3 linked regions of the Schizosaccharomyces pombe genome follow. Changing the gene in region 3 together with the main gene of any one other region gives a genetic interaction. Each region holds a gene or a part of one and is shown on either strand. Other genes may lie near its edges.

Evidence for each region. Genes that interact genetically often act in the same process or in processes that back each other up.
Region 1: mutations in vps38 (region 3) and ynd1 together harm fitness more than expected from each alone (negative genetic interaction), as found in Schizosaccharomyces pombe (one large-scale study listed by BioGRID).
Region 2: mutations in vps38 (region 3) and pdc202 together harm fitness more than expected from each alone (negative genetic interaction), as found in Schizosaccharomyces pombe (one large-scale study listed by BioGRID).

What each region holds. Positions count from the first base shown.
Region 1 is NC_003421.2:1,459,410-1,464,757, reverse strand, and holds ynd1 (nucleoside diphosphatase Ynd1), read left to right. Parts: upstream 1-2,251; 5' UTR 2,252-2,530; coding exon 2,531-4,249; 3' UTR 4,250-4,592; downstream 4,593-5,348. Other genes in the region: elongator complex subunit Elp4, read left to right, coding at 420-1,505. UniProt on the Schizosaccharomyces pombe protein: Catalyzes the hydrolysis of phosphoanhydride bonds of nucleoside tri- and di-phosphates. Required for Golgi glycosylation and cell wall integrity. Involved in N-mannosylation of proteins in Golgi.
Region 2 is NC_003424.3:583,235-588,251, forward strand, and holds pdc202 (pyruvate decarboxylase), read left to right. Parts: upstream 1-2,362; coding exon 2,363-4,078; 3' UTR 4,079-4,261; downstream 4,262-5,017. Other genes in the region: ysp2 (peptidase family M17 cytoplasmic leucyl aminopeptidase yspII (LAP yspII)), read left to right, coding at 1-799.
Region 3 is NC_003423.3:1,804,267-1,809,265, forward strand, and holds vps38 (phophatidylinositol 3-kinase complex subunit Vps38), read left to right. Parts: upstream 1-1,964; 5' UTR 1,965-1,995; coding exon 1,996-2,232; intron 2,233-2,462; coding exon 2,463-2,633; intron 2,634-2,697; coding exon 2,698-3,714; 3' UTR 3,715-4,051; downstream 4,052-4,999. Other genes in the region: arrestin-related substrate adaptor Any1, read right to left, coding at 4,136-4,999. UniProt on the Schizosaccharomyces pombe protein: Involved in endosome-to-Golgi retrograde transport as part of the vps34 PI3-kinase complex II. Mediates the interaction between atg6 and the pik3-ppk19 core complex, leading to the recruitment of atg6 to the membrane.

The DNA of each region.
Region 1 (5,348 bases), on a different chromosome or scaffold from region 3:
GATCTTAAAAATAAAATATGAATAGATTGTACTTTGAGTTGACTTAAATTTCTCATAAGTCTTGTCCAACTAGATTCGGATTGAAAGTAATCTTCAAAAATACAACAGTAATACATTTTCCGATCATGCTAATTGACTGTACGACGTAACATTTTCTATGTTATTTTGTAGTATTACAATATTATTTTTGTTTCAATGCGCCCACTAGTGAAATTTTATTATTAGTTCAACAAAATTTATCTAAAAGGTATTTTTATTGAATGATTAACTTTAGTCAACAATTTTTTATTTTCTCAATCGCAACGCTGAATTTCTTTGTTTTCTGACTGATGATGCTTAAATGTGTGCTGCAAATTTGCGTCGCGTTAACCTTTCCATCCAATTTGCTATTCCACGTACACCAATCGAAATAAGTATTGATGTCGTTCAAAAGGAAAGCAGCACCTCAAATAGCACCAACAAACTTGCCGACAGGCGTTAGACTATCTTCAAAGGATGCTAGATGGATTACAAGCTCTGGGAGTTCTTCTTTTGACTACTATTTGTCTGGCGGCATTCCAATGAAAAGTTTGCTGGTTATAGAGGAAGATTCGATGGATTATGCTTCTGTGCTACTTAAATTTTTTGCAGCGGAAGGCCTTAAACAGGACCATGTTATTTGGCTTGGTCCATCTATTGGAGAGATGTGGTTTCGTCAACTTCCAGGCGACAGCGACCGGCCTAATAAAAACGAAAATTCAGCTGGAGAGGATAATCATTCTTCTCCTCCCTCTAAAAATCCCCAGCAAGAAAGAATGAAAATTGCCTGGAGGTATGAACAAGTCTCCAAAACCAAGGCACCGACCCTTGATATGATTCCTCCTGGCTATACTCACTCCTTTGATTTGTCAAAGAATTTGATAGTGAAAAGCGATATGAAATACGCTGTTTCTCCATTCCCTTTGGAAACAGGGTCTAATCCTTACGCCCCTGTCATTGAAAGTCTAACGAGATTCTTATCTACTCTGACTCCAGGTACGGTATGCAGGTTAGTTCTTCCATCCATTTTGTCCCCAGCCTTCTATTCTATCCGTGCTACTCATCCGCAGCATTTCATAAGATTTATTCACACACTTTCATCGCTCATCAAATGCACTACTTCGGTGCACTTGATATGTATGTGTTCAGTTCCTTCTACTTTGTTTTCAAGAGATTGCGAGCAAATTTTTTGGCTAGAAAACCTTGCATCCGCCGTATTCTCTTTGCATCCTTTCCCGGTCAAAGAAACTGTTAACGGTTTAGTTACACAACCATTAGGACTTTTCCGTATCCATAAGCTTCCCTTAGCACTTCCATTTACCAATCATGCAAACTCTAATGAAGCTGGAGACCTCTCATTTACTGTATCGAAAAGAAGATTTACCATTGAACCATGGGTCCTTCCTCCACTGGATGATGAGCAAAAGGATACGAAGATTTCAAACACGAATCCTCAAAAACAGCCTGTTAAATCTTTGGATTTTTAGACAATTAAAAAACCTCTAAGTTTCTGAGTATTGAATTGGATTAAAATTCTACTCGTTTTCGTGTTATGTGATATGGTTATGGTTTGTAAATGGATTTTATAATTTTTTTTGGATGCATTGCATTTGTGTTATTTATTGTTCATACGAGTTTAAATATTTTTCATTTCTCCCGTCTAGATAACTGATCAATTATCTAAATGTTCGTCAAATGGGATAAACGTTCTCTCAATCAAAACTTTAAAACACAAGTTAATATAGAATGCGAACTGAAAGCCGTCAAATATCTCTACGAAGAACCGTTACTGTGATCTTAAAGCAAAGTGCATGAAATACTTGTAAGTAAATGACATTTTAAATCTTAAACAGTGTTAAACCGTTGAAATTTGAAGGATACAATTATTTTCTCTATTAAAACAGTTCTGAAGTAAATTGTTGATGATTGTTATCAAAACATTGTCAATCTGTTGGTACTAACAGTATTTGACATCTAAGCAAATTAAAGAGACAAATCAAAAAGTTTTCGCGTATTCGATTTTTCTCTTTAATTCTAGTCGCATTATCTTTTAAGTCAAGTGACCAAAATTAATGTGATTATTCCAATAGTCCGTATGAATGGGTCCTTAAATTCGTCTCAATTTACTTTTTTTGCATTTTGACAGAGTTCACTATATAGTGATTTACCACCTAAAAATGTGCTACCTATACATTCGCTAGTTGTTAAACATTGAGTTGAATGTTCATAATCCACTACAAACGTTCATTCAATGTTTCAATTAAGTTAAATAGAGGTTCATTGATAAGACAGATACATATATTTAACTGAATTTTATTGATGTATATCTTGGGAACATATGCCATATTGAAATTGTTCACATCGCCATAGTGCGCTTTCAACCATCAACAAACAAAAGGCAAATTGGGCTGGTTTGATGAAAATATCCATCTTCAGAGTCGAAGTTATTTAATATCCAGTCTTATAGACAAAGAGACATTTTGTTAAGAAAAATAAGTGCAGGTGGCTAAAAATGGTTCGAAAGTATGGAATTTTCATCGACGCTGGATCTAGTGGTTCAAGACTTCTAATTTATTCTTGGGACTATGATACCGATTCCTCTTTAAGTGATAAAGTAAAAAAATTACCATTAATCGAGACAGGGATTGGGGATGGTGGTAAATGGTCTTTAAAGGTTCAACCTGGAATTTCTTCCTTTGCCAATAACCCTAAGCATGTAGGGAAGAAGCATTTGAAAGAACTCCTGGATTTTGCTGCTCATGCTATTCCCAAAGATGTACATAAAGAAACTCCGGTTTTCCTAAGTGCTACAGCTGGTATGCGTTTACTGGGCGTTGATGCCCAAAACAAAATACTTTCGCATGCTTGTAGATATATTAAAAAGAATTACGATTTCGACATACCTAATTGCTCAAATTCAATCCGTGTAATTGATGGCAAAGCTGAAGGTATGTATGGTTGGCTAGCTACGAACTATCTCCTTAAGACACTTGAAGAAAAAGATACGTCAACGGTTGGTTTTTTAGATATGGGCGGTGCGAGTGTGCAAATTGCTTTTGAACTTCCCCCATCTCAGCTCAAAAATTACAAGGATAGTATTTCGACCGTTCACATAGGACTACAAAATGGTCAGCAATTGGAATATCCTTTGTTTGTTACTACCTGGCTCGGTTTTGGCGCTAATGAAGCTTACCGCAGGTATTTGGGACTGTTAATAGAAAGCGAAAACGGAAAAGTTGGCAACACTTTAAGCGATCCGTGTTCCTTGCGTGGACGAACTTATGATATCGATGGGATCGAATTTGCCGGTACTGGAGATTTGAAACAATGCTTGAAACTGACTTACAATCTATTAAATAAAGACAAGCCATGCTCCATGGACCCTTGTAACTTTGATGGAATATCTATTCCTCCTGTTGATTTTGCAAATACTGAATTTGTTGGGGTCTCGGAATTTTGGTATACGACTAATGATGTGTTTGATATGGGCGGTAGCTATCATTTCCCTAATTTTTACAAAAAAGTTGACGAGTATTGTGGTACAGAGTGGGAAACCATGCTTTCCCGTCTTTATAATAAAGAGCTGACTCCAAGTACTGATGAAAACAAGCTTGAAAAGCTTTGTTTTAAAGCATCATGGGCGTTGAATGTCCTTCATGAAGGATTCGACGTTCCCAAGTCAAATACAAGTAGTAATGATGCAAAGGATGGGCTCTCGGTAATTCCTGCGTACCATTCTCCATTCACGAGTTTAGAAAAAATAGAACGCACCGAAGTGAGCTGGACCTTAGGCCAAGTATTGCTTTATGCATCAAATCAGCAACTTCTAGCAAAACCGGAATATGCTAATTATTATATGGACCCATACGGAAAGCTAATCGCATCCCCTTCAAAACATTGGATGAGGTTATTTCCTAATAAATTGTTCTTTATTCTTTCATTTATTTTCTGCTTATTCTTTCTGTTCTCTTTGGTTTTGTTCGGGTATGATCCGAAAAGGCGCCAACGTTTCAAAAAATTCCTTCTGCGCTTGCAACGTCGCAAGGCTCCGTACATTATGTCTGCAAATGGAAGTTATGAGGATATAGCAGATTTTTCTGATGATTTAGAAATGAGCAGTCCCTCTAAGTGGCATGGACCCCCGATACGTACCACTTCAAGCCATGTTCTCGCAGACAGACTTTCGTTTACTGCTAGTCGAGAGAGAACGCCTAGATCCCCTTTTCCTTAATATTCTTTACCCGTAATTTTAGGGATGGACAGCTTTCTGCTGCACTTATATGTTTCTTTTAGCTTTTTTGTCATTTTTTCGTTCGTTCTTAAAGAGAAAGCTGTGAATTTCAGTTGCTTCTCTATTTCACTTTCAGTACTTCTTTCATTCATAATACACCTAATTAACCAAACCATATTAATCACTCGTCTCAACATTATGTAGGCGTGCCAGTCCTTTGTTTACTCGTATGAATATTTTTATCAAGTCAGCAAAAACTCCTAAATGTCCATTTTACACTTGCGATATTTGAGTCATATCTCTTCTAACCGCTTGTGGCAGTTAGCATAATAATCATCATCGATTTTATTAAATTTGAGATAAAGCATATAGTTGAATTGGGTAAACTAAATATAGCAACCCCTAAGGTAAAACATGTTTGATGTATGGAAAATTACATATGTTAGTTATTTTAAATTTTAAACCATTACAATCAAGACCTCTTTTCAACCTTTGTTAATATGATAAAAAAGAGCAATCTGTATCTTAATATATCGAACTCAAACAAATGAAGCTATATTAAATAATATCAAAGTGAAGCAACTTTTATGATTCATCCTATGCATTGAATATAACTAATCTGCCTAATTCGAACATTCTAAATCTGCAAGATAAATAATTTTGAAAGTAGAATCTCCATAAATTTTCTTAAAAAACTAGCATTTGAAGTGTAGCTTATTTGAACAAAAAAGACCCAAGTCTTTGTTAGTTCACGAAAGAGCATTTTAATGCGTCGGTAGGCAATTAAATAGTGTTAAGAGTCTTAAAAAATCATGACGACCTTAATAGTCTTTACAAATTTATTGATTTAGCTTGAAAATTAGAGCCCTCAAGCATCAGTAGTTATGTACTCAGAAATTGTGATGCACAACAAGACATTGAATCTTTAGTTTTTTAAGATGCTAGCAAAAAAATTTTACTTAAATTTTTTTTAAGTAACTTAACAAGTACAACAATTCTGGAGTTCTTTGATTACTAAAAAGGGCACATTAATTAATATCGATATAATATTTGTCAAAGGATAACATATTATTCGTCATAACAAAAAACCAGAACTTTT
Region 2 (5,017 bases), on a different chromosome or scaffold from region 3:
GAATGCTGGTTCCGATATTCCACCTCGTTTCTTAGAAGTACAATACATTGGTAAAGAAAAATCAAAAGATGATGGATGGCTTGGTTTAGTTGGAAAAGGTGTAACGTTTGACAGCGGTGGTATCAGTATCAAGCCTTCTCAAAACATGAAGGAGATGCGTGCTGATATGGGTGGTGCTGCTGTTATGCTTTCCTCTATTTATGCCTTGGAACAACTTTCCATCCCCGTGAATGCCGTGTTTGTTACCCCTTTAACTGAGAATCTTCCTTCTGGCTCTGCTGCTAAGCCAGGAGATGTTATTTTTATGCGCAACGGTCTTAGTGTAGAAATTGATAACACTGACGCTGAGGGTCGTCTTATTCTTGCCGATGCAGTTCACTATGTCTCTTCTCAGTATAAGACCAAGGCTGTGATTGAAGCCAGCACATTAACTGGTGCTATGCTAGTAGCCCTCGGTAATGTATTTACTGGTGCATTTGTTCAAGGAGAAGAGTTGTGGAAGAATCTTGAAACTGCTTCCCATGATGCTGGAGACCTTTTCTGGCGTATGCCATTTCACGAGGCTTACCTCAAGCAACTTACAAGTTCTTCAAATGCTGATTTGTGCAATGTTAGTCGTGCCGGTGGTGGTTGTTGTACAGCGGCTGCCTTTATTAAATGCTTCTTAGCCCAGAAAGATTTGTCTTTTGCTCATTTAGACATTGCCGGAGTTATGGATAAGCAGCTTAATTCTTGGGATTGTGACGGCATGAGCGGACGCCCAGTTCGCACTATTATTGAAGTCGCTCGCAAGTATTAGCTTATTTATTTTCTTGGCTATATGTGCAAACTTTATGTTTTTACTTATTTACTGTTGATTACACCAATCTCATTTTTCAATGTCCTTGTTAAGTGTATGTCAATGATATGTAGCTATCATGATTTTATTCTTTTTAATACTGTTTTCCACAACCGTTCATAACGGTTGTAAGGACCGAGTCTTTCTGATGGCTCTGGTTCTGTTTCCTTTAAAAATAAAATCAATTCGGTTGAAGTCTCATGTTGTTAAATTTCACTTTCGAAGTAGCGAATTTTTTTTTTCTATTTTGAATATAGATTTGTTTATTAAATGTAGTAATCAATTTACTCATGACTATTACTTTTGTCAAACAAAATCATAATACAAAACTAAATCTTTAAAGGTAGAATATTCTCCTGTGCGAGTTTACAATACTTTGGGATATGATCAAATCAATTTTTTTTAGATATCTGTTGAAATTTTTATAACAGTAATTTTGTATTATTTATCATACTATTTATTAGCGTTACCTGCCCTCTTAAATGTACACATCATGTGGGGGTGGGGGAACCAGTGCTGGAGATCACTTCTTGCTATACCGTTTGGCTCATGGCAACTATTGAGGATAGCAAGGAGCGTTACAATTTGCAAATCAATATGATAAACAGAAAAACAACAAGTTGAAGCTTAACACTGTAGCAATATAACAATGAAAAAAATAATCAGAATTAAAGCAAGAAGCCTATAAATGGTCCATCAATTGTGAAATCGATATTGCTAGATGTCAGGCAAATCGTGAACTCGGTTGAAAAATGTCGTTAATATTCATGTGAAATCATAATTACAGCAATATGTTCAAAGACTTTTGGATACTTTATAATAATGAGGATTCTATTTTTGAGTGGTCACATGGTCTCGTAACCATGAGGTACGCCTTACTTTTACGGACGAAACAATATTTCACATTCAGCTCTCAATGTTAAGTATCCAAACAAACATGGTACAAACCAATAAAGCATGTAAATTAATAAGCTTGAAATAAGGAATAGTCATTAAATTCAGTTTAGACATAATGTAAAAGGTATCAATTTTGTCTTTGGTATAGATACAATTAAGAATTTCGAGACGGAACGTTCGGTGATGTAGAGTTTTCATAATAATTTCTGCAGTTGCTTACACTAACCGAAGAATCGTCCAGTATAAACTGCTGACGATGCCTTAAATCAATAATTGCAAATTGCATAGTTGACGTTTTCCCGGGTGGCACATAGTGAGATTTGAGTCGAATAATGAAATAGCCTCTGACGAGTGGTTTCGTACCAAGAGTTTCAAAAAGAATAATCCACATTAACTCAATGTATCATTGATGACGGAATGTTGCTTATATAGCCAGAGTAACCCTGCTCTGAAGCATCTAAGGTTATATCTTTTTAACTTTTAGCTAGCAAACTCACTTGTTCCTTTAAGTTCAGAAAGTATCTGCTGGTTATTCAACAGATAATTATCTTGCGAAAAAGGAATACACACTCAGCATTGTAATTTGTTGAGTATATTTCACAAGCACATTAAATTGCATTATCAAACATGAGTGGGGATATTTTAGTCGGTGAATATCTATTCAAAAGGCTTGAACAATTAGGGGTCAAGTCCATTCTTGGTGTTCCAGGAGATTTCAATTTAGCTCTACTTGACTTAATTGAGAAAGTTGGAGATGAGAAATTTCGTTGGGTTGGCAATACCAATGAGTTGAATGGTGCTTATGCCGCTGATGGTTATGCTCGTGTTAATGGTCTTTCAGCCATTGTTACAACGTTCGGCGTGGGAGAGCTTTCCGCTATTAATGGAGTGGCAGGTTCTTATGCGGAGCATGTCCCAGTAGTTCATATTGTTGGAATGCCTTCCACAAAGGTGCAAGATACTGGAGCTTTGCTTCATCATACTTTAGGAGATGGAGACTTTCGCACTTTCATGGATATGTTTAAGAAAGTTTCTGCCTACAGTATAATGATCGATAACGGAAACGATGCAGCTGAAAAGATCGATGAAGCCTTGTCGATTTGTTATAAAAAGGCTAGGCCTGTTTACATTGGTATTCCTTCTGATGCTGGCTACTTCAAAGCATCTTCATCAAATCTTGGGAAAAGACTAAAGCTCGAGGAGGATACTAACGATCCAGCAGTTGAGCAAGAAGTCATCAATCATATCTCGGAAATGGTTGTCAATGCAAAGAAACCAGTGATTTTAATTGACGCTTGTGCTGTAAGACATCGTGTCGTTCCAGAAGTACATGAGCTGATTAAATTGACCCATTTCCCTACATATGTAACTCCCATGGGTAAATCTGCAATTGACGAAACTTCGCAATTTTTTGACGGCGTTTATGTTGGTTCAATTTCAGATCCTGAAGTTAAAGACAGAATTGAATCCACTGATCTGTTGCTATCCATCGGTGCTCTCAAATCAGACTTTAACACGGGTTCCTTCTCTTACCACCTCAGCCAAAAGAATGCCGTTGAGTTTCATTCAGACCACATGCGCATTCGATATGCTCTTTATCCAAATGTAGCCATGAAGTATATTCTTCGCAAACTGTTGAAAGTACTTGATGCTTCTATGTGTCATTCCAAGGCTGCTCCTACCATTGGCTACAACATCAAGCCTAAGCATGCGGAAGGATATTCTTCCAACGAGATTACTCATTGCTGGTTTTGGCCTAAATTTAGTGAATTTTTGAAGCCCCGAGATGTTTTGATCACCGAGACTGGAACTGCAAACTTTGGTGTCCTTGATTGCAGGTTTCCAAAGGATGTAACAGCCATTTCCCAGGTATTATGGGGATCTATTGGATACTCCGTTGGTGCAATGTTTGGTGCTGTTTTGGCCGTCCACGATTCTAAAGAGCCCGATCGTCGTACCATTCTTGTAGTAGGTGATGGATCCTTACAACTGACGATTACAGAGATTTCAACCTGCATTCGCCATAACCTCAAACCAATTATTTTCATAATTAACAACGACGGTTACACCATTGAGCGTTTAATTCATGGTTTGCATGCTAGCTATAACGAAATTAACACTAAATGGGGCTACCAACAGATTCCCAAGTTTTTCGGAGCTGCTGAAAACCACTTCCGCACTTACTGTGTTAAAACTCCTACTGACGTTGAAAAGTTGTTTAGCGACAAGGAGTTTGCAAATGCAGATGTCATTCAAGTAGTTGAGCTTGTAATGCCTATGTTGGATGCACCTCGTGTCCTAGTTGAGCAAGCCAAGTTGACGTCTAAGATCAATAAGCAATGAGCAAGCTATTGAGAGTGGAATTGGCAAACAAAGTTTCCTTTGATTTATATGTTTTTTATGATAAGCCCATTCAATTCATATAGTCTTTTAGTATAATGATTAGTTATTAAATTTATGTTTAAAGCAACTTTTTAGTTTAAAATTTTTCAAGTCAAGTTAGGGTGTACGTAAACAAACAATACCTTGGAAGCAATGAATGAAAAGGTAGAGTTAATCCAAACAATGTGGAAACCAGTTTCCTTGCATCTACTTACTAGTTTCGCAGAAAAATTGCTAAACTGCTTAAAAGCCAACTTTAACATTCTTATTTCTTACATAGGAGCTACCGTTCCATTCACATTGTGATATGCTAAGAATTTATTAGTTTTACAAAAATTGGGTGATTCTACTATTTAATACAGTGGTTTTGTAACGTAATGAAATTATAACGCTCGTTTATTACGATTTCCTAGGTAATGTAGCGGGTAAAGGCAATTGACTGATATTATGTATCACTCTATCACAGCAACGGACGAACGGTTTGCGTTGTTGTTTATAAATGGTTCTGCAACGCAGCTTCTGACTTTGACACTCTACACCACACCATACTTCAGCGCTCTATTCTTTCGCATAGGAAGGTAAGCTGCATTTCGTGGCGTTTGGTACCTTGAAAAAATATATTTTGGTTAATATTCGTTGGCTTTTTCTTTTAATTCTTGCTACTAATTCCAAGAATTGTGTAAGTATAGGAAGAGGCTGTGTTGATCGGTTAGTTTCGTAATTTCGGCATACTAGTGATTCCTAAAATACCGACTACTAATAATTATAAAGCTTAGATCACTTCTTTGGCTAAAGTAATTAAACCAGGAAGTCTTAAAATTCCGCTTTTTAGCATCCTAAAAATTTCCCCGTCATTTCTCAAAAGTGTTAAACGCGTGAATGTTCTCAAAGCTCTGTTTT
Region 3 (4,999 bases):
AGCGAATCGACCAGCTATAAACAGTACTCATCAACACATTAGTGGTGAGCATACCGTACATGGAAAAGCAAAACATCCTTTTTTAATAATACAATTTTTTCTTATTAACTAAAATCCTTACCCGATTAGGTGGGTGTTGTTCATCCATTATCTGTGCTACATTTAGAGAGAGACCTCTTTCCAAATCGATTACACTTTCATTTTCTATGTTTACACATCACTCATTTGTAAATAGACCTTCTAACTGGACAATAAAATTTTCTCAGTTTTTAAATTAAAGAAATGGAGAGTATTATACAATATTGCATGAATTGAAAACATTGAAGCGAAAGAGCGTGAACAAGGATTTCATCCTAACTCGTAAAGCAAATGTTCATTCTGCCTCGTTTGACATATCAGACGGAAGTCAAATCAAAGTGGATTTAAATTATAAAATAACTTGAAGTTTCATTTTATCATGTTTGCAGATTTTATTTACATTTCATCTCCACATTCCAATTGTATGCACATATGCAATACCCACTGTTACTGGTTCCTTTCTTAACGAAAATTATCGCCGCATACTAAAAAATATTTAATTTGTTTATTGTGACTGTAAATTAATTTGTGTTTTTAGATCTTTTATCGGGTTTCTTCAGGACGGGCTTGATGACACTTCGATTGTTTACAGAATATATCTATAGTTAAATTATTTAAACAACATTAGCAAGTCCAACCTATAATAAGGAAAATAAGCTCACTCTGGAAGTTCTACTGGTTTGGCCGATAATGTTTTTAGCAACATGTAACAGCGTTTACTATTGAATTTGTTTAAATTTCTTAAATACCATTTTGATCATAGCAATTCTGTTCGGTTGCTTATAATATTGCTCTAAATTATTTTTTATTTCACTTACTTCTTCTGCGTTTTATTTCTTGCTGACTGTAAATATGGTTAAATTGTTTTCAAAAACAAAGTATCAAATTTTTTTTTGTGCTTCTTCAGCGGACAAATGAATAGTAAAAACTGAAAGCGTGCTTTTTTGTTGGTAATAATGTTTGATTTACTCTTTTTTTTTTTTTTTTTTTTTTTTTTTTTTTGGCTCAGACCTTCTTGCTCATAATGATCTGGGCCATAGTACATCAATTTTCGAAGACAGTAATAAAGCAATTAAAAAAAAAAATTTTCGCCATTGATTCAAACTCACATCAGTTATCAATTAAAAAATTTCTTTACAGTTAATTTCTGCTATATTATTTTATTGAACCTTTTTAAATTCATTCAACCATTACGGAAGACACTAAATTTCCTTAAAGAATGAGTTCTGAGCTAAAGGATCAGTGGCCAGCTTTAAGAATAAGATATATTACGGCAAAGTTTCAGAATTATCTAAATATAATTTAATATAAATACATTTAACGATTATATTATGTATAGTATTATAATCCAATTAATTAATGGTAGCATATAATGACACGCAAAAGGGCTTAGTGAAGTCTTGCTGCTGACAATAAAGTGCATATAATGTTAGCTTCGCAGTTTGGTATCTGATTTAAGGATACATAGAACTGCGGTGAGTTTTCCTTGTGATCTATTATATTACAATACACAGGTTGTATGAGTAGCAACTGAGTATAGGTATTGTATTAACTAGGTTATAATGTTACCTATCACTAATATATCTTATAACTGAACTGAGGGACGAGGTTCAGTTGTTCTCAATTTATAATATTTGAAGTAGTAAGAATTATATCTGATAGTTATCTTATCATGAATGATATTATATCTCCATCTTGATGACTTATCATGTAATAGTTGATAGAGCAAATAGAACATTGTGAACATGTGACATATAGTGATATGCAACGTGGAGTATCATTGCGTAGTGTAGTATTGCTGACAATAACGAACTAAACCAGTATATTGTTATCCTACGCTAGCACCAGACTCAGCTGAGTTTACCAAGTAGGGCGATGCGATGAAGCAAAAGCATTCATTGCTTTAACCATGATAGAATGTCGCTTGAATTACCAGGAAACTACCGACTTTCCAGGCTTAAATCAATACAAATAAGAAATGTTCAAGAAATTCAAAATCATAGCAAATTTGCGATCAATACGACGGAAAATTTGTGGAAACGAGATGTGCAGTTAAAACGTGCAATTTCCGAAGGAACTATTCGTATTTTTATATCATTGCATGTGCAGAGTAAGAAATTGCCTGTTTATATTACTGAAACGAGCGGAAATGCTGTATGTGAACATGCTTTGATAAACAAAAGTATCTGAATGGTATCATTATATCTAGGTTATTTGCTTGATTGAAAAGGTTAATCAGTTTGTTTATACAAGTGATTTGCCAAAATTTCGTTGCTCAAATCCTTGAAACAAAGCCCTCAATTGATAGTTTATACCTTGTATCTCTTTTACCCATATACAAATTTTGTATGTATTTATGTTCTTTGTGTCTAACCTCTCATTAGAATCACATCTTTTACGTCGATGAAAAAGTAACCGAAAAGCTTCAAAAATACCGTCACGAAGAGTACTTTATCGTGAGGACTTGGTGCTCATCAAGTAGTCATGCCTTCAAGCTACATAAAGAATGGAAAATTTTGAGATATGACAGTAATTTTCGTTATATTGGTAATGATGTACGGTTGAATATTTTTGGTTTACCTTATGTTTCCCTTGTGTTGACTAACATATTATTTGTAGCCTGTTTTTGCAGTTTGTCATATTCGAAACGGTCTTTTATGTGAATTTAATGATGGCGTTTACATCTACACAACATCCCAGTCTTCGGATATTATGAGACAGACCTCCTTTCCAAAAAGTGCCTCCACATATTCTATAGACAGGCGGAAGGATGGTTACACTATTCAGAAAATCACTCGAATTTTGAAACTGGCTGAATGCATAGATGAAATGCACATTGCTAAACATGAAATTCGAGCTCATTTTCAGGAGGAGGAGTTTCAGCAGATACGTTTGATGCACAAAAGGATGTTACTTCGGGATGAAAAAATCGATGAACTGGCTAAATTAGAACATCTTTGGCAAAAACAAATTAATAGCATCACTCAGATGAGGACGAAATTTGACAAGACGAAAAGCTGGTTATCCTCAAAAAGGAACACTTTGAACAAATCCAAAGAATCCCTTCAAAAAGATGAAGCTGAGTATGTGGAACTTGCCAATTCTTTAAAAACAAAAGTAGAGACCAATATAGAGATTCGAATCCTTATGGCACATGCTATTCGTATGCACGTTTCCCATCTTTCCAAAATTTACCCAATCCAACCATCGCCTGGCAATCATGACGAGTTTACAATTCGCAATCTCCGCCTATCTTTTGAGCCAGATAAAATTAATAATGTGGAAATGGCTGCTTCCATAGGATTTTTGGCGCATTTACTTCAAACTCTTTCAAAGTATCTCGAAAAAGAACTCGCTTATCCAATTCTTTGCGCATCTTCGAGATCCTCCATCCTGGATACATTGACACCCGACATCCCCACGCGTATCTTTCCCCTTTATCCAGCAACTCGACCAATTGAGCTTTTTGAACATGCCATTTATCTTCTCAACCAGGATGTAAATGATTTTTTAGAAACTTTTGGATTACCTATTGACCAATCCATGGACATACTCAGGAACTTTAAAAAACTGCTCCAATTTATTTTATCAGGACAACATCTATCTTTTGTACAAGTAACGTCTACCGCTCCTTAACAATTCCATAAGCTTAGGCACCATAAGCCTAAATTATCGTTAATTGCAAAACTACGCATAACTTGTCTATCGTTTAATTGTATCTTTTCACCCTAGTTTACTCTCAACAATCAATTTCGTTTTCGTATTCTTTGTTGGAAATTCATATACCCATTTCACGGTTTAATTTTAATCATCTTAATGAAGAGTTTTTATGGACATTTGCCGAAGGCATATTACTCATTGTCATTGCGACAACTACTATACAATGCATTTACGTTTAAAATATAAAAATAAACAGATAATGATGAATGTAGATATTATAAATAGTTCCCTTAAATTAATAAAACTTGTGAATTAAAAAATAAAAAGAGCCATGTTCATTTTTTGATAGTTATGTGATGGTGATCGAGCTCTTCCGGTTACATCCGACCCACATATTCTAGGTATAGGCAGGCGGAGCGGGTCCTACACTTTCAAAAACTGGCGGGCATTCTTCATCCCAACTAATACCTAAACCAGCTGGCGTGGTAAGTGGCTGAACGACTGATACTCGTAAGATACGGGCATTGCCCATATTGTTTCCCGCAACGTTCTTTTTTCTATTAACAATGGTCTCAAAAATTAAATGATGAGAGACTTTTAAGGAAAAAGGGGCAGGAATTTCCACGTCACAGCTTGGCTCTCTTAAAGAAGATGTGTTAATTTGAGTAGATAGAAACATCTGATTATCAATGAACTTCCATCCCGATTGTAAATCTTGTGTACTCAAAATTCTTTTTTCTTCAATAGGTCGAGGTTTTACCAAATCACGATGGCGTTCACATGGTTGACAACTAAACTGCATATGCTCCTCCAATCTCCAAGTAACTCTATTGATCTTCCAATCGTTGCCGTCATTTTGGGCAAAACCAGTCATGGTAACTTCCATAAGCGCAGCTCCATGAGGATGCAAGGTACTGGGCAAAGTAATGTTTGCAACAAGATTCGTAGGGGGAAAGATACGTTTATGGATGGTATCAGGCGAAGGAATGGCAGCTCGCTTTAGTTGGAGAGGAAACTTAAGAACTTCGGGCTTCGAGGGAGAAATTCCGCCTTCAGGAGTACCATAGCATAACGTAGCTTCTAAATAATACTCAAGCTTGATGTATCTGTTAGAAACCGAAGCAGGAAGCGAACCAGGGAAAAGCCAACTAAAAGGCCAATGCTGAGTACCAGGTCTATATGTGGTATTTGCAGCTAAATCCCAAGTCTGTAAAACCTCTTTTGAACCCGCACAAGCAGAACAATGAGAGATTGCAGGATG